Danio rerio: one gene and its partners. The protein of the gene in region 1 interacts with the protein of each later gene in a pairwise test. Links are inferred from orthologs where the notes say so. Each region holds a gene or a part of one and is shown on either strand. Other genes may lie near its edges.

Evidence for each region.
Region 2: the proteins of ntaq1 (region 1) and cdr2a interact in binary tests that used the Homo sapiens proteins (3 or more experiments, as listed by UniProt). The two-hybrid records come from large-scale screens. The link is inferred for Danio rerio from reciprocal best matches to the Homo sapiens genes NTAQ1 and CDR2.
Region 3: the proteins of ntaq1 (region 1) and asl interact in binary tests that used the Homo sapiens proteins (3 or more experiments, as listed by UniProt). The two-hybrid records come from large-scale screens. The link is inferred for Danio rerio from reciprocal best matches to the Homo sapiens genes NTAQ1 and ASL.
Region 4: the proteins of ntaq1 (region 1) and actb2 interact in binary tests that used the Homo sapiens proteins (3 or more experiments, as listed by UniProt). The link is inferred for Danio rerio from reciprocal best matches to the Homo sapiens genes NTAQ1 and ACTB.
Region 5: the proteins of ntaq1 (region 1) and psme3 interact in binary tests that used the Homo sapiens proteins (3 or more experiments, as listed by UniProt). The two-hybrid records come from large-scale screens. The link is inferred for Danio rerio from reciprocal best matches to the Homo sapiens genes NTAQ1 and PSME3.
Region 6: the proteins of ntaq1 (region 1) and pcbd1 interact in binary tests that used the Homo sapiens proteins (3 or more experiments, as listed by UniProt). The two-hybrid records come from large-scale screens. The link is inferred for Danio rerio from reciprocal best matches to the Homo sapiens genes NTAQ1 and PCBD1.
Region 7: the proteins of ntaq1 (region 1) and ppcdc interact in binary tests that used the Homo sapiens proteins (3 or more experiments, as listed by UniProt). The two-hybrid records come from large-scale screens. The link is inferred for Danio rerio from reciprocal best matches to the Homo sapiens genes NTAQ1 and PPCDC.

The regions. Positions count from the first base shown.
Region 1 is NC_133194.1:37,454,463-37,458,917, reverse strand, and holds ntaq1 (protein N-terminal glutamine amidohydrolase), read right to left. Parts: upstream 3,002-4,455; coding exon 2,922-3,001; intron 2,842-2,921; coding exon 2,742-2,841; intron 1,569-2,741; coding exon 1,518-1,568; intron 1,438-1,517; coding exon 1,289-1,437; intron 864-1,288; coding exon 739-863; intron 653-738; coding exon 549-652; 3' UTR 533-548; downstream 1-532. Other genes in the region: psma2b (proteasome_alpha_type_2 domain-containing protein), read left to right, coding at 82-198. UniProt on the Homo sapiens protein: Mediates the side-chain deamidation of N-terminal glutamine residues to glutamate, an important step in N-end rule pathway of protein degradation.
Region 2 is NC_133178.1:62,633,471-62,637,436, forward strand, and holds part of cdr2a (cerebellar degeneration-related protein 2), read right to left. Parts: intron 2,883-3,966; coding exon 2,645-2,882; intron 1-2,644.
Region 3 is NC_133196.1:33,930,472-33,933,765, reverse strand, and holds the end of asl (argininosuccinate lyase), read right to left. Parts: intron 3,293-3,294; coding exon 3,212-3,292; intron 3,116-3,211; coding exon 3,009-3,115; intron 1,268-3,008; coding exon 1,123-1,267; 3' UTR 906-1,122; downstream 1-905.
Region 4 is NC_133178.1:39,482,165-39,486,824, forward strand, and holds the start of actb2 (actin, cytoplasmic 2), read right to left. Parts: upstream 3,125-4,660; 5' UTR 3,112-3,124; intron 1,887-3,111; 5' UTR 1,797-1,886; intron 436-1,796; 5' UTR 429-435; coding exon 306-428; intron 216-305; coding exon 1-215. UniProt on the Homo sapiens protein: Actin is a highly conserved protein that polymerizes to produce filaments that form cross-linked networks in the cytoplasm of cells.
Region 5 is NC_133187.1:29,023,791-29,028,482, forward strand, and holds the start of psme3 (proteasome activator complex subunit 3), read right to left. Parts: upstream 3,225-4,692; 5' UTR 3,108-3,224; coding exon 3,066-3,107; intron 2,463-3,065; coding exon 2,430-2,462; intron 2,329-2,429; coding exon 2,266-2,328; intron 1,429-2,265; coding exon 1,324-1,428; intron 1,210-1,323; coding exon 1,161-1,209; intron 352-1,160; coding exon 233-351; intron 155-232; coding exon 86-154; intron 1-85. UniProt on the Homo sapiens protein: Subunit of the 11S REG-gamma (also called PA28-gamma) proteasome regulator, a doughnut-shaped homoheptamer which associates with the proteasome. 11S REG-gamma activates the trypsin-like catalytic subunit of the proteasome but inhibits the chymotrypsin-like and postglutamyl-preferring (PGPH) subunits.
Region 6 is NC_133188.1:28,937,521-28,942,111, reverse strand, and holds the start of pcbd1 (pterin-4-alpha-carbinolamine dehydratase), read right to left. Parts: upstream 2,834-4,591; 5' UTR 2,815-2,833; coding exon 2,812-2,814; intron 2,458-2,811; exon of another isoform or gene 2,344-2,457; intron 1-2,343. Other genes in the region: si:dkey-192p21.6 (uncharacterized protein), read left to right, coding at 4,074-4,209, 4,372-4,416, 4,510-4,591. UniProt on the Homo sapiens protein: Involved in tetrahydrobiopterin biosynthesis. Seems to both prevent the formation of 7-pterins and accelerate the formation of quinonoid-BH2. Coactivator for HNF1A-dependent transcription.
Region 7 is NC_133193.1:20,362,087-20,366,714, reverse strand, and holds the start of ppcdc (phosphopantothenoylcysteine decarboxylase), read left to right. Parts: upstream 1-1,554; 5' UTR 1,555-1,706; coding exon of another isoform or gene 1,707-1,790; coding exon 1,791-1,934; intron 1,935-3,572; coding exon 3,573-3,668; intron 3,669-3,840; coding exon 3,841-3,969; intron 3,970-4,055; coding exon 4,056-4,224; intron 4,225-4,424; coding exon 4,425-4,498; 3' UTR 4,499-4,628. UniProt on the Homo sapiens protein: Catalyzes the decarboxylation of the cysteine moiety of 4-phosphopantothenoylcysteine to form 4'-phosphopantotheine and this reaction forms part of the biosynthesis of coenzyme A.

The DNA of each region.
Region 1 (4,455 bases):
CATCTCAAATAACTGAGAAGATCAAATTACCCCAGTTAATCTCAACAAGGCTACATTATAGTGTTTTCTCTTTATCTACAGGAAAGTTTTGAAGGTCAGATGACAGAAGACAACATTGAGGTGGGCATTTGTAATGAAGCAGGGTTTCGCAGACTGTCGCCCGCTGAGGTGAAGGATTACCTGGCAGCAATTGCTTAAAAACTACAGCACTACAACTGCTTACACAGTTTCGCATTTCGGTTTGGTTGTTTGTTTAAATTCTGCATTTTTATTATCTGTACATCTGTGTAACTGATTTCTTTATAAAAATAATACACATCCTCGACAAATGACAACAATGGCTTTCTTTTCTGTGACCTTTCTACCTGACTATAATTAAGCCACATTGCCAACTGTTCAATTAGTAAAAATAATTTCAGAGTCAATAAATGTGTCTTTTGAGGCCTGCTTAGTTGCAGCATTCTCCATCATAATAGGATCTTTCCCTGAGGCTCTGTTTATGTACATTTTTCAACAACAACAACAAAAAATGTGCTGGAAAAAAAGCATTACTTTACTCCAAAGTGTTTAACAAAGTCTGAAAGGCTGTAAACCTCTCCATATCCCACTCGGGGATCCATGCAGATGAAGTCATCAAGATTCATTTTGGATTCTGAAAAGGACACGTTATACATGAAAGTGGAAGAAGAAATCAAATTATAGTATTTACTGTATATAAATCTGCAATAGAAAACAAACCTGGTGTCTCTAAACATGGATATGCTGGAGGTGGCATACGCCAATTCCCATCGGAGTCCTTCATATGAGACCGATCAGAAGCAAACTCCTTCAAATAAGTGTCCCCGGGTATGACTCGAAGTTTCCTAAAAGAGCAAACAACACTTTGATTACATTCAACTAAGACTGGCTATTATTATTATAAGGGTCAAAGACATAAAGGAGTTTAAGCATTTGTTAAAAAATATATATATAAAAATAATATTATTTAATGCAAAAGTAAATTAATTGACTATTGTCCATCACCACAATTTACATAAGATGACCTCTAAAATGTAGTTAAGTGTAACAGTAGTTTAAAATACTAAGTTATATTTAAAACAAGAATAATGTGAGGCCATACTAAATGGATAACAATGCAGCCTCAAAATACTAATTCATATTAAAATCTTCATTCAATTTTGTCCTCACATTTTATGATGTGCTTTTCTTTTATAAATTTATTAAGTACTTGTTACACTTATGTTATTTCATCTTTTGTAGAATGCAGATTAGACCAGATAATACTTGCCTCCAGTAAGCAGGTTTCAAATGCTTGTCAGACTGAAAGGCCTCCATTGAATAAACGTCAAGCGAACAAGGAAATGGAAGAATGGTGTCTAAATCGTAAATGAAGCTCGGTCCTTGTTTACTTGCGTGTAGAAGAATAACATGGTAATCCTAAATGGAAAACAACATTTTTATATCAATTAGAGACTACCATAAAATATGCATAGTTTTTATACATATAAAGTTCCTACCCAAATTACTGGTTCATCCCCTCGACTGGACTTTTGTTTCCAAATAGGTATCTGAAATATTACACAATTTTTAACACACATACATACTATATATACACTCATTGGCCCCTTTTGTTTGGCACACCTTACTAGTACCGGGTTGGACCCTCTTTTGTCTTTAGAACTGCCTTAATCCTTTGTGGCATAGATTCAACAAGGTACTGGAAATATTCCTCAAGAGATTTTGGTTCATATTCACATGATAGCATTACACAGTTGCTGTGGATTTGTTGGCTGCACATCCGTGATGCGATTCTCTCATTCCACCACATCCCAAAGGTGCTCTACTGAATTGAGAGCCGGTGACTGTGGAAGTCATTTGATTACAGAACTTCATGTCATGTTTTACAAACCAGTCTGAGATGATTTGCGTTTTATGACATGGTGCGTTATCCTGCTGGAAGTAGCCATCAGAAGATGGGTACACTGGTCATAAAGGCATGGACATGGCCAGCAACAATACTCAGGTAGGCTGTGGCGTTGACACAATGCTTAATTGGTACTAATGGGCCCAATGTGTGCCAAGAAAATACCCCCCATGCCATTACACTACCACCACCTGAACCGTTGATACAAGGCAGGATGGATTCATGCTTTCATGTTGCTGACGCTAAATTCTTACCCTACCATCCGAATGTTGCAGCAGAAATTGAGACTTATCAGACCAGACAACGCTTTTCCAATCTTCTATTGTTCAATTTTGGTGAGCCAGTGTGAAATGTAGCCTCAGTTTCCTGGTCTTTGCTGACAAGAGTGGCACCCATGTGGTCTTCTGCTGCTGTAGCCCATCTCCTCAAGGTTCGAGGTTCAAAGTTACTGGAATCACCTTTCTTTCCCATTCTTATGCTTGGTTTGAACTGCAGCTGATCGTCTTGACCATGTCTACATGCCTAAATGCATTGAGTTGCTGCCATGTGATTGGCTTATTTTTGCGTTGAGCAGCAGTTGGAAAGCTGTACCTAATAAAGTGACCGGTGACTGTATACGTGTGTGTGTGTGTGTGTGTGTGTGTATATATGTATATATATATATATATATATATATATATATACATATATATATATATATATATATATATATGTATGTGTGTGTGTGTGTGTGTGTGTGTGTGTGTGTATGTATGTATATAACAGAAAACTGTACATTTCATTAAATGTAAAATACTTGTGTGGAGATGAAGCTCACCTTCTTTCTTTCATTAGATATAAATACTGCATACACCTCTTCCAAAGGACAATGTCTCTGATTCTTGATATATTCACACAATTTCCACACATTCTCCTCACTGCAACAAACATTTAAATACGTGTATGAATACGGTACGTTTTAAATTTGAAATAATGTTACAGGTATTATCGCATTTACCAGTAACAGCTGGTGTAAACACATTGGTTTCCGGACGGGGTGATCACTTTATATTCAGACGAAGCGCTTTCTTCATTCATTCTTTCCTTCCTTATATACGTGTATATACAGTAGGTTTACGCGGACTTCCAGTTATAACGACATGACAAAAGAATACATGTGTATAATGATACCATAGATATTTACATTAATATTACAATGAAGCGATTCGCGTTGCAACCGCACTGTTGCTTGTTACAATGTATCTTGTCCGTAAGGAACTTCAGGGGATTTGTCGTTCCGGCGAGACAGGTGATGCGCGAACATTCACTCCTTATGTGAATTGCAAATGTAGCACTTGCACGATTATCAGCATAAATATTAAACAGTCTAACTTTCATAAAGCATAAGTAGAAAACACGTTAGCGAAAGATAACGTGCAGTTAGGCATCGTTCTCAACTCAATACAATTAGCCAATGTATTGGTTTCTAATTTCAGAGTATCTGATTGTATTTTGTTGCACGTTAATTCGTTTTTTGCCACATACTTGTATAAATGTTTGTGGATATCTATAAATTTTTTTTGTGAACTATATTTTGTTTTAAACTGAAAATGTGTTTCTGTTTCTAATGCATGTTTATCTCAAACCCTTTCATTTCTCTATACATGTTCACTCATTATAGAGTCCTGACAATATGTTTCAAACTATCAGTCCATTCAAATTGTCTACCAAAACCACAGTATGAGTTAATATTAAGGAGGTTAGCACATAGTCTAAATGAATAACTATGTAGTCTTGTCAAAAGTTGTCTTGGTTCACACTTGCTTTGGTCATAAAAAGCCACAAAATGTTCTAAATATATATGCGTACAAGATGTCTTTTGTAAAATAAGGTAAATATTTTTTTGGATTAAATATATCACATTCTGAGAGATGTATTTATTTACTTGTACAACTGTTTTATTACACTTTTTATTGTTTTCATAGGCTAAATCCCCATTTCTGAGCCACAAATAAACAGCTCTTTACACTTTTACCGTTTAAGAATCCACTATTTGCTAACGTGTTTGTTTAAAATGAAATTTGATAACATTCAAATACTTATGATGTTATAAAGTAAGCTAAACCAACAAATATTAACCATATTCTTTTAACAAGATGTATAGGGCCACCTATGTTTTGAGGTGTAGCCATCAGAAAAAGCCCACCATTAACACCTCGTTTTTAGGAATGTCTTTTACTAATGATCTCATTAGCACTTGTGGACCCACTGATTTGAGAGCTGGTGAACTGGAAAAACCACGAATAAAATAGTTGAAATTGCACTTTATTTTTGTTACTTTTTAATAAAATGATCTTTCTTTCTATTTGACTGTAATGCTTTGTGTACTTAACATAGTGTAAACATAGACACTTTTCTTATGCAAAAAAATAATAAAAAATGCACAACCAATTTCACTTAACATTAGTAACACCAAATAGTGAAGAATACACCCTACTTGCATTTTACTTGCTTAATATAAAACCACTTTTGTTATTTTTATGTGGGTGCCA
Region 2 (3,966 bases), on another chromosome or scaffold:
TTATATAATGTCGAGCTTGATGAAAACACTCGCATTCTGCCTTTCAGCTCATAAAAATACTTTGGTCATTTGCAGAAAACATCATTAGCCTATGCAACAACCACATGTTTTTGTTTCATTTCATTTCAAATTCAACATCACTGAGTGCAAACAAAGGCAGCATGTATCATGCAAGTATGGATGATAGCTTGTTTTATTGGGCGGAATGTTATATAACAACTAGCGCTGTCAAAATTAGTGCGCTAACGCATGCGATTAATTTTAAATAATTAACGCAGGGGTGTCCAAACTACGGCCCGCGGGCCATCTGCGGCCCGCGATCAGTTTTGTGGCGGCCCGCAAGGCTTTTTATGAATATTTTATAGAAACTGGCCCACTATACAAAAATGTGTGTAATTCAATAAATAACCACCGGGTGTCGCTATTACATGCCTTCAATTAGGCAGCAGTTCCTGTTATGAAGTAAAACGGACCGAACAACAAACTGAAAGAAACATAATTCATAATCAGGTTTAGGCGAGCCATGGCACAAGCAAGAACAAGGAAAATCAACAGTGAGTGCAGGAAATTTCAGTCAGGATGGGGCAAAGAATATTTCTTCACAGAGGTCAGCGGGAAATGTGTCTGTTTAATTTGCCAGGAATCAGTTACAGTAATGAAGGAATATAATATTAAAAGACATTATAAAATAAATCATCAGGCTTTCAGCTCTTACACTGGTGCCGAACGAGATCAAAAAGTAAAACAAATAGCAGCTGGCTTATCAGCTCAACAACAGCAGTTTTTTTTCGTGCTAATAAAGTGCAAGAAAATTCTACGCTGGCTAGTTATGATGTAGCCCAGCTAATCGCACAGCACAGGAAACCTTTCACTGAAGGAGAATTTATAAGGGAGGAGTGTTGCAAGTGTAATTTGCCCAGAGAAGATTCAAGATTTTAAAAACGAAAGTCTTTCTAGAAACACAGTTGGACGATGAATTAAAATAACAAATTAAAATAATTCTATAACACACACACACACAGGCTACATACATACATACATACATATATACACATATACATATTCACACACACACACACACACACACACACACACACACACACACATATATATATATATATATATATATATATATATATATATATATATATATATATATATATATATATATATATATATATATATATATATATATATATATATGCACGTGTCTGTGTAATGTATTTAATATATGGCCCGGGAATAACTTTTTTTTTTTTTTGCTTCTGGCCCTCGGCCCAAAAAGTTTGGACACCCCTGAATTAACGGGTTAAAATAAATTTACGCAGTTGCAGGTTTTTTTTACTTCCTGTTGTGGTGGACGTGTGTTCAACATGCAAGAAATGTGGATAAGACCAAGGAACCACTTTTTGAAGGCAAGTTTCAGTATAAAACAATTAGTCGCATAACCAGGCTCTCCAGAGTTTCATGCAATTTCGGGTGTTTCATTTTTAACTTTCGACATCTGTTGTAAGTTGATACCGCATGGCGAACAGAAAGAAAATCCTCCGCATTTCGTGACTCGGTGTTGCTTTAAGGTAATAAAATCACTGCTTAGGCTACACGGTAGAATTTTAATAAGAGTATTATCTTAATCATATTAAAATCGGAGTATTGGTGTCTTATGCGAATGTACTCAGAAAGTCTCTGATGAAGTCGCGAGCTGTCAAAGACAGGGCATTACTCTGCCTTTCAGCATGAACCCTCCAAGTTTAGCATGTTTCCTCATTAAACGCAACAAAAGCGTATGCTTCACGATGTTGTGTCAGAATCCTTGTGAAATACAGTAATACTTTAGGACGCTTAGTTTAGGCAAATTTGATGAACGTGATCATGCGTGTTGAATCTGAGGGGAGTCGCTCCAGTATGGAAGGCCGTTGGGGCCAAAACGTCTGCAGCGCGTTGTGTGTGTGTCTGTGTCAGGCCGGTTGAAGGGTGTCAGGGGTGGAGTGAGCGACATATCTGAGTAGGGGCGTGTGCGCTCGAGACGTACCTGAAGGACGGTGGGGGTGAGTGGTGCGACATAGGCTACCTGAAGAGGTAGGAGGGATCCTGTCAAGCCAGGATCTTGATGGTTTATTGTGGGTATGTTGTTTACGTGAAGAAATCTGTGTTACAAGTTAAACAAAAATTCTAATAAACAATTATATTTTGAATTTTAATTCTAATAAACAATTATATTTTAAATTTAAATAGTTTTTGTCTTGCGTTTACATTAATTTTACATTTGAATAGCCAAAATTACAAGTTTCAGTATTTTAAATGCGATTAATCGCGATGAATTTTTTTAAAAAGGTGCGATTAATTAGTTAATTTTTTTTAATCGATTGGCAGCACTAATAACAACCAAAGTCTCTTTTAAGGGAAGCCATTTCACTCGGCGGCCATCTTTGAAACGCCTCTCGGGCAGTATGCTCAGGCATTCTGTCTGAGCGGAGAAACATCAAATTCATCAAAGCTTAAGATCTCATTACATATTTGGAATCACCAGTAAAATTAAACATCATCTGTCTCTTAAGTTTCATTTCTAAACGTCCGAATCGAAAAAAAAAAAGACATATTTTTAGGTTGCCCAAGCTAATGCGCTAACGGGTGGAGGCTGTACCTGTCTGCGGCGGGCTCCCTCCAGCAGGCTCAGGCGGTCCTCCAGAGCACTGTTCTCCAGAACAGTCAGCTCAGTCTCTCGCTCTGCCTCCACCCGTCGGGCTCGCTCCGTCGCCAGCTGCTGCTTCAGCTTGTGGAGGCTGTGCTGAAGGGTAGAGGTCTCCTCTTCCTCCTCTACACACCGCTCACTAAGCACAGGCCACGACCGCTCCTCATGCAGACCCTCTGAGGTCCAGCTCCTGCAGGACAACAGGCATTTCATGAGGGAAATATTCAATGTAGCAGAACTAGTTCACTGACTGGAGACATCATAAACACATCATAAAACAAGTGTTATGAATGTAAAGTTAAGGTACGATGTTTTTAAATTCATACATTCATAATGTACATGCAAGAGTATTAAAAAATACAATCAAACATCAAAAATCACAACCAAATTATTTTTTTTTTATAATAATAATAATATTACCAATAATACTATTAATAATAATAATTATTATAATCATAATAATATTAATATCAATAATAATACAATTAATAATATCAATAATAATAATAATAATAATAATAATATAATTAATAATAATAATAATAATAATAATAATAATAAAAATTAATTTTAATAATATAAACAATAATGATACTACTACTACTACTACTACTACTACTACTACTACAAATATTAATATTAACAATAATAATATAATTAATAATAACAACAGCAACAACAACAACAACAACAATATACTTAATTATAAAAATAATAATAATATGATTAATAATAATACTAATAATATCAGTAATAATATTAATAATCATAATAATAATTATTATAATATAATTATTAATAATAATTATATAAGTAATAATAGAAAATAATATAATATAATAATAATAATAATAATAATAATAATAATATCATTAATAATATTAATAATATCATCATTAATAATAATAATAGTAATAATAATAATAATAGTAATAATAATAATAAACTAAGCCTTAAGGACACATTTTTCCTTTTAACAGGAATCAAATTAAATTTGAGAAGAAAAAAATCTAAAGTATATTGTCAATTGTAAGTTGTATATTTATTCAATTAAACTGTAGTTTAAAGTGTTAAACAACAAATATCATAATAACAGACTTTGTTTACTAAAACTGACTTTTCCCATATATATATATATATATATATATATATATATATATATATATATATATATATATATATATATATATATATATATATATATATAATGAATATTTATATTATATTTATATTTAGGCCCACAGAGATATATGCATGTATCAAAAAACAAAAAC
Region 3 (3,294 bases), on another chromosome or scaffold:
AATTATGGTTCACCGTGTATGGAACTCTTCAAAATACAAAACAAAAGAGTTTGCATTTGAATGTGGCTCATTTGTAAAGTTAAGAAGACTTCAATTTCAATTACTTTTGCATTGTCTTTAACCAGAGCTTGACTTTAATGTTTTGATGTGTTTTTCCAAAGTTACATTCACTTTACATTATATCAACTGAATTCAGTATCAGTAAGAGCTATTTTTCCACTCCAAAGAAAAGTGAACAGGCTAAAGTGCCATTTGTATTTTTACTCATGCAGTTAAACGCAGCTCAAATGTAACATAAATGTTTTCACGTTTAAGTAATCCAAAAGAAATGCTATGAGCTTTTTTTAAATCAGTTTTAATATACAAATATGAAATGTTGGGGAAAATGCAATAACAGGTTGCATCAGTTGACTGTCCTATTGAATGAATCATTGAATCATTAATTCAAATAATCACTCAGACAGCAGATTCGTTAAAGAATGAATCTTTGGGGATTAATCACTGAATCACTGACTTAACTGATTCGCTCAAAAACACAATCCTTCAGTTACGAAACATCTGCATTTCATATTTTTGTAAAGAAAATACTTTTTTATTTATTTGAACACTTGGGGTTAGGTTTAATCATATTTTTTATATAAAATTAATGGCTGGTCCAAGTCAAAAATAAACAAAACGACATGCTTAAATATAATTTCATGATTTTCAAAACCTGGAAGTGTTTTTTATTCTCCAATGTTTGCTGGAGAACTTTGTAAATTAAGTGTTTAACATAGCTATGATTTGATGACATACACTTGAAAAATAAACATGTAAACACTGTGCATATATGCAGGGCATGCGGAGTGTAAGCTGTATATAATAAATGTTTCCAAAATGTAAATAAAACAGTAAAGAAGTCACTGTTTATTAAAGTAATTCTTTATTGAGTTGAAACTATTTCATTGTACATATTGCTTGTCATAAAACCCTCATCATGAACCAGTGAAACTCTACTCATTTAAATCACACAGGAAAAACCCCTCCATTTCTGATGGAATAAGAGACAATAGTAGGCATAATAAGCAAAATTCATCAATGGAAGAGCACCTGTCATTGACCTTAATAAAAGTGAGACTATTGTTACAGTTTCTGTGCCTGCAACCAGGTTTTAAAGTGCTGGATTTGAGCGGTGACGCTACTTTTCGATGTGCCACCGGGGGCGCTGTACTGTTCAACACTTTTGACGTAATCCCACACTGAAGAAACGTCCTTGTCAAAAAGAGAGCTGAAAAGAAAACAGAAATAAACAGATTGATTTTCATTCCATATGCTTTTATCAAGCCTTTATTTTTTAATGTGCCTGGGTCAAAAATGAGACACGCCATTTCCTTGTTTGCAGTAAAATGCATTTACAAATATATACAGACACACAAGCTCAGAGACTGATATATAGACCATCCTAAGGGATGTAAACAAAGACAGTGGTCCTTATGTGTTTCCTGTTCTACATTTTTTATTTTCTATAGCTTTTAAGAATCTAAAAAGGTCCACATATTGATAAATAATGTTATGATGGCTTTTTTGATGGCAAGTCATGATTGAATTGCCTCTTGTTACAGTTTGATAACAAGCAGAATATGTTCATGGGCCAATTTCATGACCACATTGAAATGGTCTATAATCGTCCAGTTAATAACCTGTAATATGAGCTAATAAGTAATGCATTTGTCATTCACATTAATGCAGATTTTCACAGAATGACACTAACATTATATAAAGTTTAAGGCAAAATAAGAGAAGGTTTACGGCAATTTTGAACCATACTATTTTTAATAAGTAATTTCTAATAACTAAAATATTTTGTCATTACCATAAAGACTAGTTATTTTGCAAGATACCTGTATTCAGCTTAAAGTGTAATTTAAAGGTTTAAAAACGTTGATTGGGTTAACTAGGTAAATTGAACAACAGTGGTTTGTTCTGCAGGCAATTAACAATAAAATCTTAAGAGGGTTAAAAATACTGACCTTAGCAGTTTTTACTTTTTAAAAATATATATTTTTTATTAAAACCAAAATAAAGTAGTAAGACTTTTTTCAGAAGAAAAAGATTCATAGGAAATCCAAAGAGAGAAAAAAAACAAACATAATAATTTTAAAGAGCAATTTTATAGTTTATAATAATATTTCAGATAGATGAAGAATGTCTAATACCAAAAAAATGCATAATAAACGTGATAATATCAATACTGCAATGCATTTGGGTGTGTGTGTGTGTGTGTGTGTGTGTGTGTGTTATTGATTCATTTTAGATTCATTTATGCCCATAAAAACTACAGGCAATGCCAAAAGCTAACTGCAGGTACAGTAGCTGGAGCACCAGTCTTAGCAAGGAGACACAAACACAAATACTATTGAGGGTTGTAACTGTTAAAATAATTTTACCACTGTTATAGACTGAGAATCGCAGCATCAGAAGTTTGGAATGGTTTGTTACACTGAATTAAATTTCCCAAAAAATGATGGACAGAACTTTGCTTTTGCCATTAATCATTAAGGGGATTCTTCGCCCAAAATACCCATTCTTAAAACAGCAAACAGAAATTATTCATGAACATAGCTTCAAACTGTTATTTTTAAGGCCCCTTGTACGTCAGAAGCAAAAAGTCCTGTAATACCAACAGTGTAAGAAATATATTTATGTACAAATGAAAGAACATACTTATTCTGATCTATTGTGGCCAAGCATAAATGTTTAAAATTACTATCAGTCAGTATTTTGGGGCTGCACTGATATGAATATATCATCAAATAGTTCTTGTTCTAAATATTTCAAGAAGATATTTTAATATATAAACTTTTGCTACATTGAATTATATTTTAATGGTTAAAAATCATGATAAAAATGTATAATCATTTCATTTTGTTGTTGAGAAACACATTCGAAGGTATGGGGGGTATTTAAAACCATATTGAACTATTTTCACCTCATTTATCTTTATTTTCCATCTTTGTCCCATTACTAACCTGACCGTCTGAAGGTCCTCTACAGTGAGTTGGGACAGTCGAATGTTTTTAGATTCCGCGATATAGACAGCTTTCCCAGCACAACCATGAGCCTCTCTGAAAGGCATCTTTAATAAAACATGAACAAACATCAGATTTCATTCAGCTCTGCTCCAATGCAAATAGCATTTATTATAAAAAAATATCTAGCCTTCTGTACTCACTCCTTTTCTGACCAGATGATAGGCGAGATCAGTGGCCAGCATATCTGGACTGAGGGCTTCTTCCATCTTTGCTTGATTGACCT
Region 4 (4,660 bases), on another chromosome or scaffold:
TTGGGGTTCAGGGGGGCCTCTGTGAGCAGGACGGGGTGCTCCTCTGGGGCAACACGCAGCTCGTTGTAGAAGGTGTGATGCCAGATCTTCTCCATATCATCCCAGTTGGTGACAATACCGTGCTCGATGGGGTACTTCAGGGTCAGGATACCTCTCTTGCTCTGAGCCTCATCACCAACGTAGCTGTCTTTCTGTCCCATACCAACCATGACACCCTGTAATGCAAGGACACAAGCGTTACATTTTGTGAACTACTTGAGAAAGTTCTCAGTTTGGGTCAGAATCAAACTAATCGGTCTTCTCACCTGATGTCTGGGGCGACCCACGATGGATGGGAAGACAGCACGGGGAGCATCATCTCCAGCGAATCCGGCTTTGCACATACCGGATCCGTTGTCAACAACCAGTGCGGCAATTTCATCATCCATGGCTGAACTGTAAAAGAAAGGGAAACTGTTAGAATTGCACTGCTGCCAGGGAGAGGCGTTTCAGCAAGCATGTGACCATCTGGAGTCAACTTCCTGTTTTGCTCTGCATTCTACAGTCTGACCGCTGGTGGGCGCTAGTGACAGCGCGCGCCTCAGATATGCCAGACAAAGGAAGTCCCTCTGCATTCTCTCATTATTACCATAAAAGGCAATGGTTTGAGCCGCTTTGCGGCTGCCGGCGGTGTGGCACTCAGCCAGAGTCGTAGGGCTCAGTAAAAAGGAACAGATTTCGACATTCATCACACCAGGACCACTCCCTAAATTTTACACAAATGAAGTTTCACATCCTCTTCCACCCTCGCCTGCGATCAATTACACAACCGCATTTCAACGGGTGTCTGCCGCCGGGTGTTACTGCGTCACAGATCTGCAGTCAGTCCACGGACTCCTCGTGAGCGGAGACTTCACACTAAAGCATTTCTGGACGGTCACTCTCAGTCGGTTCAGTTCATAGTCTAGCCTCAAAAATCACCGAGATCCTGAAAAACTGATGGGCTCTGCTTCGACAGTCACAGCGGCTGAAGTGCAGCCAGAGAACTCCGCAGCCGTTATTAAAGTGGACCACACCTCTAAAATTCAAATCTTTCATAGCGGATACAACACTTCACTAACGTTAACGTTAATCTTCAGCTTCATTAAAGACAGAGGGGGCTGCAGGCTACATTTAAATAGAACACATAACAAAAAGAAAATTAACCAAGTTAAAACTAAATGCCAATACCCGTTACTAATAACAAGATCTTCGATCTTATAAAGCACGAATGAGCCGATGTTAGATTGATGGGGTTTACGTTACATCAGATGAGAGCTGGTTAGCCGGCTAGCTAAAGTAGGTCACACCCTGCTGCAGCACTGCCTGCACAAAGAACTTCCCATGCCGGCTATCCATCAAGTGTGCAACATGCTCACCAGCACCCTCAAAACTGTAGTTAAAAATCACATTTATGGCTGTTAAAGAGAGATTAGCCAGAACACAACTTTATATTAAGACTTAACACCCATTTCACACCGGCCTATTCAATGTTCAATGTCGTGCCTACGACTGGTCACGTTAAATTACCGACATTCTCACCTGCCACATCCACTAACGCTACAAAAAAGTTAAGATACAGCCAATATTTATTAAATGTAACATAGATTATCAAAAGAACCACCACTTATAAATCAAACCTAGTAGATAACTACAAAGAGACCGTTATGAACTGTCTAAAGACTTCATCAAATCATATTTATCCATTTACACATTTTACTTAACATTAATAGATAGAAACTATAATTAAACGCTTAAAAACTGTAAAACCAACTCACCTTGGGTTTGGGGGGTTGTCGACTTAAGAGAATGGGTTACAAGCAGATGATATTCCGCACTAGCTGCGTGTGGAGGAGCTCAAAGTGAGGCTGAAAAGCTGGGCGCGCTCTTTTATATGACGGCACATACCCGGCTCTAGCCATAAAAGGTAAACTTTCGGAGCTCTGTGCTCTGATTGGTCCAGCGTCACACACCCGGCTGTCGCGTGCACATTGCTACACTTGCTTCTTGCAACTTGAGAGTGAAAGAAGGGGAAGCTTAACTGGTTAAAGAACAAGGCCATGGCGATTTCCTATAAAACTGGAATTTTTATTTGCAAATTTTAACACAGAATTTTTCGTATTTTTCTGCGACAACGCCAAGACTCAATTAAACTTTTCAAAAAGTCTGTGCAGAGTTACAAGTGGCAGAATGCGTCATAATGATGGATGCCTCCATGATCCTGTGTTGTGTTTTCAATCTAACACAACAGCAGCTCTGTAGGTCATTTACCTCTTGTGTTCACGAAATACCGTAATACAAACAATGGGGGATCTAATGAGTACTTTTCCATGTATAAAATGGACATTTTTTTTATCCAAATTAGGATGACACTACTTGTAGTATGTTGTATGAGCAACTAGCTGGTCTTAGCTCAGTAGTAATGCACTTTAAGAAAGTGCTTTAATAACTTTGAATGAATGGGACCTGCATTCCATGCCACATTGCTTCACTATTTTTGTGTGTACAAGTTACACAATGATGTATAAAGTGAGTGATAGCAGTTACATTTTTGCAAGTGGGCCTACCTCAGGTTTAATGTTCATTAGAAATGTTATATGTCAAGTCTTGATCTTAAATAGTTAAATTTTCTGTTCATAATTTCATGTCGTGTCTATGCAGACATAACATTTCTTTTTAAAGAGGTTTATAAGGATAAATCCTAAGAACATAATTCTCATTAAAAGTAGAAAAAAAAAACACTGAAAGTGTTGGTGATCAGCTACAATAAATAATATTTTGCACACATTTCAGATATTGCCACACTGAATAACAGATAAAGCTGTGCTTGAGCAGCAGTGATCATGATAAACTACATGTGACTTTTTACTGTGTAACTTGGGAGTAATGCACATGGCCTTCAGTGGGAGTTATAAACAAAAACAGCTGATTGTGTTAAAAGTGCTTGCTGATACCAAGGACAATGAGGTGATGTGACTTTTATTTTGTTTTTGGCAAATTCCAAGTATTTTGACAAGACTTTTTACAATTCTGAGCATTTTACCTCTAAAATATGGAAGTTTCTCAGAGTAAACGTTGAGTATAGGTAATGACTAGGCCCACACAGAATCTGTGCGCACAGAAATCTGCAGATTTCCCCAGATCTTTAGCCCATCATTGAGTTTATTTATTGACTTGTGTATTTGGATTTGCTCTTTAGTGTTTGGACTCTCAGCAGTAAAAATTAACTCACACTGAACTAAACTGAACTGAACTTAAACTCTTAAAAAATGGACTGACACAGTTTCAATTTACTATACTAATCCTCTAAGTTAAGCTGCTTTGACACAATCTACATTGTAAAAGCACTCTAGAAATAAAGACAAAGGTGTAAATATATGTTTATTCAGTTTTTAAATACATTTCCGTAATATTATTGACTAATATGAAAGTGTTCATTTGATTACAATATGGTCTGAAAGTAATGTTTTCTGTCTTTTAGAAGATATATTATGTGAGAGACTTGCTTTGTCGACCAAATAATTGGATCTAGGTGGACTTGCATTGTATATATTTATTAAAAGTTAAAAAGGTATTATTTTTTTTTATTTCATATAGTAAGTTTTTAGTTACGATACTCCCGAAAAAATCTCGCATAAATCACAGATTGTTTACAAAATTCTCTGCAGAAAAAGCAAAAAATGTCAGCAGATTCTGTCTGGCCCTAGCTATGACCCAACAGAGCAAACAGAATAAATACAACGAAATTTAATATACAGCATCAGATATAAAAGTGAATGTTTTATAGCTGTTTGTGTATAGAAAAAATGAGAAAAAACAGACATAAACAGCATCATAGTATGAATGTCTAAAAACTTGTTATCTGCAAACTGGATACTCATCAATAAGGTCTCCTCCTTCCATCCCCCAACATCTTTTCAAAGAATGCCAAGCATCCATCCACACCCCCCTTTATAAACACACAGGTTTTTATAAGATAAGCAAATATTTAGCACCAATCTGTGGTTAATGTGATGTAACACACAACAAACAATGCATTCAGCATATCCAGTCAATTCTATTTTTTAACCAACCATGCTTCTCTTTGTAACTTTTGTAGATTGCACAGGGGATCTTGTTACAGCAGATGTGCTTTTGTGAGTCCATAGTTCCCCCGAGGACCACCACCCTTCCCTGATAGCAGCCCACTACAGCCTTCCCATTCATCTCTAAATAAGGTACTGTCCTAATGAACCTCAGCTTTGCCCCATGACATAAGATTTCCAGAGCAATAAAGTGTTGTTGACTGTCAGTGTGATAATGTCATTGTCCTTTAGAATGCCAAAGTCTCTTATCTCAATTCTGATACCAAAGCTCTCCCAGTACACCATTCATGCATAATGATAAGAAACATATTTATGAAGTTGTTCTCAAAGGAACACTTTTTGGGCGTGTCATGCTGCATTTCATAGTTTGTTGTTTGGCACCCACATAAATAAAACAAGTGTGTTTTTGATAATAATAATAATAAGGGATGCACCGATACCAGTATCAGGTTTTGGGTCGATACTTGGTTAAAATATTCTTACTCGTATTGCACATGAAATGCTGAAACCACGCACCAATACCACTCAACAAGATTTCATTACATGGATGTGATTTG
Region 5 (4,692 bases), on another chromosome or scaffold:
CAGTGGCTAGCAACTTCTGCATTTGACTTTCACTGATAAGTCCAAAGGTCACAGACAGTGGAAAATATTTAATGTGGCAGCATACCTGAATTGAGACACCAAAATTGTTGCCATCTTCTATTCTAGGGATTAACAACTGAACCCACATCTTGACCTAGAAGAGCACGGGAAAATTATTTAATCATTTACCTAACACGCTTGAGTGAAAGATGGCACAAGACTATCAACGTACTGTGTTGCATTTTTCCATAAGAGTTCTGATTTCAGGCTTGACTTTTTCAATCAGCTCCACCAGCTTGCCATTGCTTTTCATCATTCCACCAGGCATGACAAAGACCTTGGTCCCGCCAACTACAACAGAGCATATACAGGAATCAGAGAGTGAAATCAGAGAGTGTTGCATTGGTTACTGCAATAAAGCAGCATGATATCAAATCTAGTATGATTTCATAAACTACACAGCATCCCGATATTCACAGAATTCAGGCAAACTTTAGCATAAAACCATACATTGTATAATCAAAAATTATAAAAAATGTAATACCTTGCAAAATAGCATTCAACACTTTGAGGGCCTTAAATTTCTCTACATTAATTGATCAACTTTTAATACTTTAAGACACACTGTACAAACAGGAACTTTAGTATAATGTAAAGAAGAGTGAGGGCTGGATCTGTCAGCACAGCAGAGCACATGGAAAAGAGAGGAAAAAAGACAAACGAAAAACAAACAAAACAACAAACAAACAAGATCTCCGTTTTTATTTTTTCCCCCAGTAAATTTCAACAGTATTTTGCAGAGTGTTTGGCCTGTCATGAATAAAACACAGTCATGATTATACAAATACAACTCTAAAACAGCCAGTAGGGGCAGCAAAAAGTTTAAATGAATTGAAACCTGTCTTTAGGAAGAGTAAAATGATTAATGCAAAATACATTCACCCAGGGCCAAAACACCAGTGTTGCACTGAGAATTGCTCATAAATATTTATTTATAGTTAATATAAATATTCTTTGCATAAATATAAAAAACAGAATGAAATATTTCCCAGTTTCAATATGAGCATTTAATAAAACAAGTATGTGTTATCATTGACAATCAACACTGCACACTTTCAAAACATATTTGTTTAACTTGGTAAACTAAAGACAATACCCACCTTTGTCGTCTCCTGCTCCATCTTCAAATTTCCTCTTTTTAGCATTTTGCTATTGAGAAAAATGTCAAGGTTATCTTTTTATCATATTCAGAGATTTTTGATCAACATCAATAGATGATATGACTGACTAATGAAGAAGACACTTGAAGAAAATGACTTTTACCCCCTCAATCCCATCGTGGATGTCTGTAAGCAGAATTGGGTCTGGCACTGTCAGATTGATCTCTGAATGAATTTCCTGCAGCTCCGTGATATTAATTGTGGGATCCTACAAGTGATCAAATGTATGAGTGTTTGTACAACAGGTAAAAGACTCAATGCATCATTTTGGGGTTTCAGCCCCTTTTAAAACAACATCTGGGTTTCACCAAGTAAAATTTAAGATTTTTTTAGACCATTACGAATTAAATTGCAAAATTTTACAAATGCTAAGGATTATTTTTAAATATCCCAGTTAGAAAAGATTTTCAGTTGCCCTATAACTTTTTTTGTAATGTAATACATTTAACAAAACAATTATAATATTAATAATTTAGTTTGATTTTTTTAAATAATTGTCAAATATATCCATTCACAAACTCTAAAGCCCTTACAAATATCAGAACAAAACATAGCTGTCAATTACTTCAGTCTACAAAAATAATAAAAAATATAAGACAGTCTCCTGTGTTAGACCATGGGCTGTATTAGCCACACCAACTTTTTGGGTTGGGTTTTCTCATTGAAAAACTTTTCCAAAGTAAAGTGAACTTCTAACAAAAAAACTGCAGAAACTTGTTTTAAGCATTATTATTTAAGTTTGATTTCTCAAAAGTCTGACTTTTCATTTCAAGATATGTAGCCGTTGAGATTTTTAAAGTTCTTCTTTAACATTTACAATGAAAAAAATAATTTTTCATAACAAGTCAATGTGATTTAATTGAAGGACGTTTAGATTTTTGTCCTGGACAACAAACTAAAAATCATTCAAATCATTGAAGTGCATGCAGCATTTAATCAAGACTTTGCAATTTTAAAACGTTCTGCTCCAATTTACGACTTTTTGCCTTCAATCTGAAGAGAGACAAAGCAAAACCCTGATCATAAACCACCATCAAACACTTACCTTCAAAAACTGGTCCAGTTCTAACAATTTCTTCGGGAAAAAGTTTGCAACCAAGTCTTCAGCCTATATGTCAACAATAAAACAATAAGTGTCAAATAGTCAAAGAAATGTCGGTATATAAATAATACATGTATAATTTATACATGTAATCTCCGTTAATTTACCTCTGATGTAATTCGTTCTCTAAAAGCATCAACCTGACAAGACAAAAACATTAATATGTAATTTTAGAAACACAACTAAGGCAATTCCCAATCTGAATTTTGCAGTCACTGCTTTTATTATTTTTAATAAAATCGCTTTAAGAAAACAAAACAGCTGGCGGCCTTTCTGTTTTAGGGCGCTGAATGTAGAACTGCACAATCCCGCTGGATTAATTTATTAGCCTCATGATCTTAACTGTAAACCTTTGACAAAATAAGTAGATATTAAAAATTACTTTTAGCTCGCTAATGGAAAAAAACGATGGCAAACTTCTCTCCAATTCTCCCGTAACGACATGCTGCTGTGCTAAAAACACGCTTCATCCGCACACCCGCTGTTAACAACGACTCCGCCGAACATGTGGGGGCTTCGGCTTCAGCTTGGTGATCTGATATATACAATCCGAACGTACTTAACGTTTAAATCAATATTTTATTTGAAAACTGTTTGATTTTACAAGCAAATCTGGATCTGAAAGTTAGCAGATGTGCTCACGAGGTGACTCACGGGCAAGCCGGCTAGCCGCAATGCTAACATTTACAAACAGTTTATTTGAGTGCGGCGTGTTTAAATAAAAGAAACGTTAAGACTTTTACCTTTGTTTTGATTTCATTGTCCACCTTCAGGAGCGAAGACATCGTATTAATTCAAGAAATGTGAAAATGAAGGGATTGTCCTAAAAGCATTAACTAACCGTGTGGCTTACTAACTGCTGTCAGCCACAAGGCACTTGCGCGCTTTTAGATGACGTAAAACACAGAGGCCATAGATGCGAATACATGATAGATGTGCAGAAAGAGTCTGGCATTCGTGACCAAATTCAGTCGAATTAATGCAACGACAACGCAGCTTATTCGTGTGCGGTTTGGCTGTATTCTAAATAGACACTGAAAAAAGTACTGGGTTATTTATTTGAACACATTGTTGGGTGAATTGTGCTGGATCAAAAGTATGGACTGTTTGATGTAGGCTACTATAAAACATTTGGGGTTTGCTGACCCAGTTTAAACTGGGCTTATTCGCTGATGAAAAGGTCAGGTCATTTTGATTTAGCTGGTTTATTAATTGCAAATTAGATAAAAAATTTATGGTTAATAGAATATATTAATGAACATGGGGGAAATAACAAACAAACAATAACAGAGATACTGTAATTTAAGTAATAATTATAACAATAATGAAAATAAATGACAAGAACAACATCAACAATCATCAATCAATAATCATAATAAACCATTATTTATTTATTTATTATTACCACTGTTGTTCTTGTAAGTAATAATAATAAAATAGAACATTAAGAATAATACTAGTAATAGAGTTTGACATTATGGCTACAAATTCTATTTCTCTCTTTAAAAGGTAAATCTGATCCCTGACGTGAATATCGCTTTTAACACGGTATCTATGTATTTTGATATATCTATGTTCTTGACGACTTGGAAAAGAGTGAAGCGCATGTCTGCGTCATATTTCTCGCTGTACATAAATTATTTGATGAAATCACAATATAAGTACCCACAAGAACAATTAAAAGCTTTCGCTTACCATTGAACAATTTTTATTTTGATATTTGATAAAAAGTATAAAAATATTTTGTTCGAACGTAAGCAAATCCGAGACACTTCCTGTGACGTACATTGGAGGCGTGTCTGAATCTAGCGATGTAAACAAGAACGCAAAAGACAAGTCTCACAGTGTTGACAGCACCACGGGCATTTAGAGCGTCGTATCCCCTCATCAAACGCTTCCGTTGACTCTGGCTCACAGACATGAACCTCCCCGTCACTGTCAAAGTGAACTTTAGGGGCAACGTGAAGAAATTTCCAGTCTTGGACACGAACAAAGCACAGTGGGAGACTGTGGAGGCCTGGGTAAGGAGTCATTAAGCCTTGCTGGGTGGCGTTTATGTGGGGACGTTTACATTTCTTGGTCCTACAAGGCCGTAGCTGAGGCCTACATAAACAAACCTTTAACCGGATGCTAAAAACGAATAACGTACAGGCAAATTCTTTAATCCTGTCATAGAAAATATGTCTTAACATGTATTTTAGCTGGGTCTTCTTTTAAAATCCACAGTGATGTAAATTGCAGCAATATCTATTATTTGCTCTTGACCTTTCTGTTCGGCCATAAATCAGATGACAGCTTCTAAATAAACACTAACGATGTAAAATATCGTTCTCGTTTTAATCTTACTGTGCCTTCTTTACATTTTCTGTT
Region 6 (4,591 bases), on another chromosome or scaffold:
AGATACAGTATATTGCAATATACATAAAATCACAGAAACCTAAAATACCACAATATTCCATTTGTCCAATATTGTGCAGCCCTAATGAAGGCCCTTTTATTTCTAGAACATTTTAAATGTCTTTACAACTCTTTGAACTCCTTTAAAGTGTATTAGACGTTATATCTAAACAATCGTTTCTCTGGGGTAATTATGCTTAGTGGTCCAACGTGTATTTTGAAGGCTTGGTAGCGGTTATAAGATGCAAAACAATGTGTGCTCATGCTTCATTTGTAGAAAATCATGTTATTTATATATATTATCATATTATATACAGCTGCTCAGCTAACATAAAAACGACTGTCAAATTTCCTAGTTCCTCTGAAAGGCCCGCCCTCAGGAGGCTCTGATTGGTCAGCTAACATAATGTGCTGTGATTCGCAGATCGGCTTCACACCACCAGGAAAAGCATCACGTCCTAACAAGCATGCACTGTTGCGATGTATAAACACTGTCAGTCAGAGTAGCTGTTAGCCGTATCAGTTTGTGCCTGAATCAGACAGAAAAATGACACAGAGGACACAGCTGAACCTCAGGCCTGCTCTCTAAAATAAAATCTGACTTTCACATATATTCAGAATAAGCATGTGCAAGTAATATGAAACGTTTACATGTCTTTTGTGAGTTCATCATTTGTGATGTAGAATGCAGGGAAAGCGGCCGCATAGAGAGGCCTTGCAGCGCTACTGAAGATTGTGGGTGTTTACAGGGTTTTGACTGACAAATATTAATTTGTAGCTAAATTGTTAAAGGTGCCTATCAGCATTTCCTGTTGTTTACATCCATGTTTACGTCCATGCTACAAAATACTGTTAACGCTAGACACTATGCATGTACACTCAAAAAATGACGTTTGCAGTTTGTTCAAACTACTTATTTAAAACGAGCTTAAACAACACAATTCATGAGTTTTTTGGGGACAACTTAATTGTTTTATGTTCAATCTACTTAAATTTGTAAAAACTAATAAGCTAACTTAATTCCTTCATGTTGTCCCAACACATTGATTGTTGCGGTTTTTACAGTGTAATAGGTCAATTTTAACAAATATTAAAAATGCTTACAGGTTGTGGCTCACAATCTACAGCTTCTTCTATTATGGTTGGAGCTGCTCCTTTTTTAAGGAGTTTTTATCGGAATCCAGCACTGAACTGGGAATGATTCTGGAAGCTGTCCTTTGTCAAATACTGGCTATATATATTTTTAATAATTCTCTAGAACATAATTAAAATTCAATTGCAAGCACTTTTCTCTTTGTGTCATGTCCTTAGGAAGCCCACATATGTGTCATGTCCTTAGGAAGCCCAAATACAGAAACAGAACAAGCCCTGTAGCATTTTGGACAGCATTTTAGCTTTCTCAGCTACATTACAGCACCTCAGGCCATGCCCTTTTGCTGCGTGTAGTGAATGCGCGAAACCTGAAGCGTTCGTGATCTCACTAACATGGATGTTTTTTGTAGTCCCCACAATTCTCACTCACTGTAGGCTTTGGTAAGCTAACTGTAAAAGCCAATGTCTCATTGAAGTTTGGCTGAATTACATTCAGAGATGTTGTTTATGTTCACGCAGCTACATTACACATCAACTAAAGTTTAAAACATGATATCAAAGTGAACCACCGCTTTAACAAAATCAGCTTTTAAGTTACAGGAATATTTTACATTTTAAAATATAATCAAGTAGAAAACAGTAAATACATATCAAAATTTGACTGCCTCTGATTTAATAAATGCCGGCTTGTTGAGCAGTACAGACTTCTCCAGTACACACACACTTTTAAATTTTAAACCCTACTATACCTATAGATTAGATTAGATTTTATTGATTGCTAATTATTTGTACATACCAATAGTTTGTTTACATATAGCAGATACTATTTAAACAGCTTTACGAACACACTCTTACAAACACTCCAATGGGGATGTTTCAGAAAAAGCACAGTGATTGGTTGTTGTGAACCCCATATGGAAACAATGATGACTTGCATTTTCAATTTTAAGAGCCTCCAGCATATTTGGTCGAGGCAATGACATTCCTAAGCAACTTAACCCTTCCCCTTTTCCCACTTTCAGTACAGATCACATGAGCTTCAAACACATGTCTCTTACAAGAAAAAAAAAAAGCATTAATAAAGAAGATGACACGAGATTTCAACAGGCTTTCCCCAGCATTCATGGTTTTTTACTGAATGAAAGGGAAATGAAGATGATTTGTGTCAGCGTGTTCTTTTGTGCTATACACACACTATTGTCCCAGACTGAACCATCATCAGTATATTGCGTCAAAGAGTCTGTGCAAACACATGTCAGTCAAAATGAAGCTCCAACGCTGATAAAGCTGACTGACATCAACAGGTCTCTTAGCAACAGCCTAATCTGCTGAACTAATGCTGATGCACGAGCGAACACACAGCGAGGTAAAAGACCTGACATCTCAAACACTTAACAGTGCAAATGATGAACATGAATGTTATATAATGAGCTTTTAACTATATTTTATAGTATATATTTTAAATAAAAAATAATAATAACTCAACCAACTGAATGTTAGGTGAAGAATGAATAAAATAGTATTATAAAAATACATATAATATTTTAAAATACATTTTAGTAACAATAAATAAACATTGTTCAACCCAATATAGTGTAAAGAGGCATGTTGTTTGGAAATTCCATGCTTGCATGTTGAGAGTATGGACAAAGACTTTAAATAGTTTGTTAATGGTACGGACGATAAGAATGCAATAGATATGTAATTTGTTTTTTCTTACCATGTTTGTGGGTGCTGTGAGCGCAGCGCTGATGTTGTCTCGGTCAAGCGGCTGGAATGGATTTCAACCTGTGGCCAGAGCGTGAGTTTACGATTCCTACTATGGTGAAGGAACGTCTTATGAATATTAACTGCATTGCGTGATTGGATGCTCACCGGGAAACGTCACGACGCGCTATTTAATATTAATTTATGGGCCCTGTTTCTGCTGCCCTGCCAGAAGCCTGAGCGAAATAGAAGTGTTTGAACTGAAGAGGCCTGTGATGCAGTTGGGTGACTTCACACAGTGAGATAATAATTAAACCGTGAACAAACTTTAGCAGTAGAACTTATCGAGCATTCATGCAGGTCGTCAGGTGACAAAAACAGTGATTTCTTTTTGTCTTATACTGCCTTCAAAATGTATTGAGGATTTACTTTATTATATTTATATTATATTATATTATACTTAATAATATTGTATTTAGGGCTTACTATCTCATTTTAGAAATCAGCCATAACTAAGGTTTTCGTAATTAATACGAAAGGATATTTTAATGTACTGTGCCATAACAGCACTCGTATAACGTTAGCTATTTGAGTAACTTAATTGAAAAAAAAACAATTGTAATAGAAATCTGCAGATAAGTTGGTAATTTGTGACACAATTAAATGTACATTAAGGGTTGTTTATTTACATTAGATAAAAAAAACTAATATAAAAATGTCAAAAAGTCCTTATTAGGGTATAGTTCACCAAGAAAATTTGCCATTTAGTCACTCCTCTCATGTTCTGGACAAGTTTAATTTTTTTATTTTCTGTTAAACACAACACATAAGAAGATATTTTGTAGAATGTTGAAAACCTGTAACGATTGACATCAATTGGAAAATCAAATAGCCTAACGTTACTATGGGAGTCAGATTTCCTTATTTTCTTATTTGTTTGAATTAAATTTTTGTTTGGTTGAACTATTCCTTTAGGTGAAGTAATTAACCCAGGGTCTTATTTTTAAATCTACATTTATTCATCTCTAGAAGAGCAATTAGACGTAGAATTAGAAGTGCTAGGGATGTACTCACTTTTATACACACTGTAATAAAAGAGCATCACAGTTAAATAATATAATTAACATAAAAAGAGTACAAACATGATAAGCGATTGCTTTCACTTTTGCTTGTTTGCTTTTCCCCCCTATGGTTTTGTTTAAGAAGATTTTTTTTCTCTCAAGTTTAATTTTTTAAACACTAAAAACTTGTTTTAATCATGTGTTTTTATAATTTATGCCATTTATGAGTAAGAGGTATCATCTTCAAATGCACTTACATACAGATTTTATTTGTGTCCAACATTCCTTTGACTGCTCCCAGGCAACTAATCCCAGCCAATCTTTGGTCAATCTTCATGTAGAGTCTTATGGTAATAAAAATGTCCAACACATCTCAAAGATCACTGCAATCACATGTACAGTGATCTTTGAGCTCTCTTTATTTTCATTTGCACAAAAAGAGGTAAAAAGTAAAACAGAAGATTTGGAATTAACAATGAAGGCAGTCAATATCTTCGATGTTCTCTTGTTAGCAGGAAGTTTACTCCCAGCAGGGCTGTGTGAGACACATCATGAAGGTAAGTCATTTCGTAAGTGTGATAAAAAGTTGTTAAAATATGTATTCATAGTTAGAATACTGTGATTTCACTAGTTGTTTTGTCCTTTTTCAGTTTACAAGCTGAAAATGGACGAGGCGCTGATAAAATTCCATAATGAACTTCCGTACAACATTAGTGTTTACTACACCTCGGA
Region 7 (4,628 bases), on another chromosome or scaffold:
CCCTGAGGAAACCCATATGAACATGCAAACTCCACACAGAAATGCCCAGCCAGGGCTCGAACCAGCAACCTTCTTGCTGTGAGGCAATGCCCCATATAGGCCTACTTAAGTGTAGAAACTACACTCACAAATTTGATAGGGTTCCCTTATCAGAGAATTTTGGTTTGAGTTATCCAAATTCTTTGTTTCAAATCAGATATTGTCTCAACACTGTGTAAGATAATTTGATGTTTTTCCAATTTTAATTATAATATATAAAAGCAAATTTTTAACAAAACCAAAACAATTTTCTCTCTGACTTTTTCTGTCAACACTAACAAGCAGTTTGCTAAAATGTAGAAAAAGTTGAAATACTATTTGAGTTTTTCCATAAATAATTCCATAATGAATCACCTTTTTGTGTTTTTCTTTATAGCATTTTATGTCTTTTTGATTAGTTACATACATTATTTTCCTTTTCTTTATTTATTTATGTGTGTGTCCTCTTCTTTATCTTACACTATTTATGTATTTCATTGCACAAGACTTTAAAAAATGGGCAAAATTAGCTCAGATACTCAGATCATTAATCAAAGTGTCAACTCAGAGATACAAAAAAAAAAATAAAAAATGTAAACCTAGTTCCGCTTTTCCTTTCAAATACCTTGGAGGCCTTATTTGTTCATGCAACCTGCTTTGACTCCCTGTTTTGTTCGCCTGAACCCCTTATTGCATTTTTAAAGGTAGCAAGACCATTCAAGACCAAGCAGAACAAAGACTATAGAATTCAGTTAAAAGTACTTTGATCTGAATCATTATTTTGGTTTAGAGTTAAACATTTTACAGGGATAAAAAAGATGAATAAAATAGCAAATCAGGCAACATTTTAATAACGATTTAATTAATGTCTGGCAAATGGTTTGCCGGAGAATTTTAGCAACATTATGAGCTAAATGAGTACCATAAAATACCATACACTGTAGATTTATACACTTTTAGGCATTCATATATAGGATAAATCTCCTGTGAAGTTTTTATCGCGTCACACTTGTTATTGGGGAAGTTTAAATCATATTTCATTTTCATTGAAAATGCAAAAGGCGATACGGTGGCTCGGTGGTTAGCAGTCACCTCACAGCAAGAAGATTGCTGGTTTAAGTCCTGGCCAGGGTCAGTTGGCATTTCTGTGAGGAGTTTACTTGTTCACCCCCAGTCCATGTGGGTTTCCTCCGGGTGCTCCAGTTTTCCTCACAAGTCTAAAGACATGCACTATAGGTAAATTGGGTAAGCTAAATTGGCGGTAGTGTGTGTAAATGAGTGTGTATGGGTGTTTTCCAGTAATGGGTTGCAGCTGGAAGGGCATTCGCTGTGTAAAACAAATGCTGGATAAGTTGGTGGTTCATTCTGCTGTGTCAACTCCTTATGAAAAAAAGGGACTATGCCGCAGGAAAATGAATGAATGAATGAATGCAAAACTCTTGTGTGTTGATTTATCCATTTGTCAGCTTAACTTACTCTTCCAGTCAGAGGAGGCGCTGTGACGTCGTTTATAACCGCTTTTACGCCAATGTTTACGGAAGTGGACAAATCCTGAAAAATATGCGACGGTTAATAACGTGCACCGCTTCTTAACGCGCAGTAAATGTGTAATATAAATGTCCAAAATGTCTTATCCGAGAAACAGTTTACATATTGACAATACATTATATAAATAATAGTTATCTTATATGAGGAAACTTTGTTCGGGTAGTTCACTCAGTCTAAAGTTAAAGCATTATACTTTAACAAGTATATTAAATAGTGTGTTTATAATGCAGCAGAACTCTGAATCTGATCATTTACAAACAGACTTGCAAAAGACTGGTTCAAGATTTCATGTTCTGGTAGGTTTGACCGGCAGTGTCGCTGCACTCAAGGCGCCTTTGTTGGTTAAACAACTTCTTGAGATTCCTGAGGTGAGTATGTTTACATAGACAGAACAAAATGTAAATCATTACTGTCTTAACCTGACAGAGACACGGATGTCTTTGAGTTCATGTTCTCCAATGTCTTTTCATTTCATACATTTGTCCGCTAGAGAGTGCTATTTCTTTAAACATTTTGTTCAAGTTATATTCTTGTCGTCTATTGTAGTCTAATAAATGAAAAATGTAAAAGAAGGAAATGGTATTAGTTTAATTTTATCTCAAATAAGCAAACATACACAGGCTCGTTGGCAGCCTCGTAAAAGGGGTGGTTCTTTTTTCTCAAAAAGGGGACCTTTATGCAGTTATTCGCCTCATCTTCTATGTAATTGTTTGATCTATATACCTCATATTAGTCATATTTTTAGCAATATTTTTAGCTGGATTAGCCTGTCGAATGGTCATCACTTTTTGATCTATCAAAAATATAAAAAAATACTAAATACTAAAAAAAAATATGAATAAATACCTATTCTTAAAATACAAATGTTCCTCCAATATCATTAAAAAATGAGTCTGTACTGTAACCTATTGACAAATAACAAATTTGTAATTTAAAAAAAGAACCAATCAGAATTTGTCCATTTACATAATAATAATAATAATAATAATAATATTATAAAGCTTTATGAATTTTCTAACCTTTCTCATAAGTATTCGAATTAATTCAATATGGGCTTCTTTTGGTGCTTCACACTTTTTTTTTTTTTTTTTTCAAGAGTAGGTCCAAGATTTAGAATAAAAGTTACTTCCTAAATGTTTTCTCTATTTAAACAATACAGTAGGTCAGTACTGAAAGTCAGATTGCATATATTCTTGCACAGCTGGATGTTGGACTCAATATAAAAAAAGAATTGTTTGCATTGGTCAAAACCAACTGATTAGCTGAAGTCACACAGAAGCAAAAGCCAGCAGAGAATTCCGCTGCGTCTTAAAGCCTTTTTAGATGATTTGTTTAAACAATTTATGATGGCATAGCAGTCAAAATAGGACAAATGAGCTCATGTATGGAACAAATAATGAACAATTGTCAAGTGAGGTGTGGGCCTTTAGAATTACCCAAACCCCTTTGGCTACAAGCCTGTATACAGGTGAATTGTAAATCATTACCCTACGTTTGTTTTGATGTTGGATATTGTTATTCTCCCCATTTAAGGGTTATAAAAATTGATGAAAAAATGAATACTATTTCTAATGAAAAATGAAAGTTTAACCTGTATTTAAAATCATAGTTGTTCAATTATAAAATCATATTTTTTAATTTCTTTTTTGACATTCAAAAAAGCTATTTCTAAAAGACTTTTTTAAAAGAGAGCATTTTCAGAAAATGAAAAAACAACATTTATCTTTTCAAAACATTTATTAAAAATAAATATAAAAGGAATGTTTTTCAGGTTGTAATTTTCTTTTATTTATTAGACCAATTAGTCAGTTTTATGAAATAAATAATAAGTGACTAGAAAATCAAAAACAAAATGTTTATATAACAGCTTTATTATAGTTATTATAACCCTGTTCTTAACTTTTAATGTTTTTTAAACGGTTTTATATATCTCTTAAGAGTAACTCAAGTTTCAAAGATGGGTTCTCTGTGAGGTAACCAGACATTTGTCCTGTTCTGTTGTTCAGGTTGATGTGCGTGTGGTCACCACAGACCATGCCACTCATTTTTACGATATCAATGAAGTCCCTGTTCGTGTGTACACAGATAAGGATGAGTGGGAGGTGAGTTTTACCTTTAAAGGGGAAGAGATTCTTTTTCACTGCAAACAACAACTTTGTATTTGTGTTCTTTCCTGCTGTGGTGTTTACATCAGTACCTAGACTAATCGCATCATCTAAAAAAGCTCCTATAAGAGGATTTAAATTGACTGCTTTCCTCATATTTCTATGCTAGATGTGGACAAAGCGCTCTGACCCAGTTCTTCACATTGAATTAAGACGTTGGGCAGATCTTTTAGTGATCGCTCCACTAGATGCCAACACACTTGGCAAAATCGCTAGTGGTATATGTGACAACCTCCTGGTAGGTAATTTGTTTATTACATTCCAGTGGCGTTTTCAATGTATGCGTTATCATCGAAGTGTGCTTACCAGTTTTGTTTATGGCAGACGTGTGTGGTGCGGGCCTGGGACATCAGCCGCCCTTTGCTCTTCTGTCCTGCTATGAACACAGCCATGTGGCAGCATCCAATTACTGCTCAGCAAGTGTCCACAATTAAAGCATTTGGCTACGCTGAGATACCATGCATTGCCAAAAAACTCGTCTGTGGAGATGAAGGTATCTTCTAAGATACAGTAATGGTTTTATGAGCCAGTTGCATTGATAAGGACTACTTCAAAACAATGTGTGAAGTCACACATGAATATTTTGTTAACTAAAGATCAAACTGATTTGATAATTAGCATGCTTCTTGATTATAAGAAAGTGATGTTTCATTGGTTTCAGCTCATGTTACAGTTTGCCCTCTATTTTCACAGGTAAAGGTGCCATGGCTGAGGTCTCAACTATTGTTGATACTGTGAAACAATACGTCCAAAGTCATCCCAAGTAAACTCAGACTAAACCTACTCATCATCGATGAGGAGACACAAGGTTATCTAAACAATAAAATCTATATTTTAAACCAAATTTACAAACAGACTATTTTAAATATATTTGACATTGTAATAGATATCTGAGTG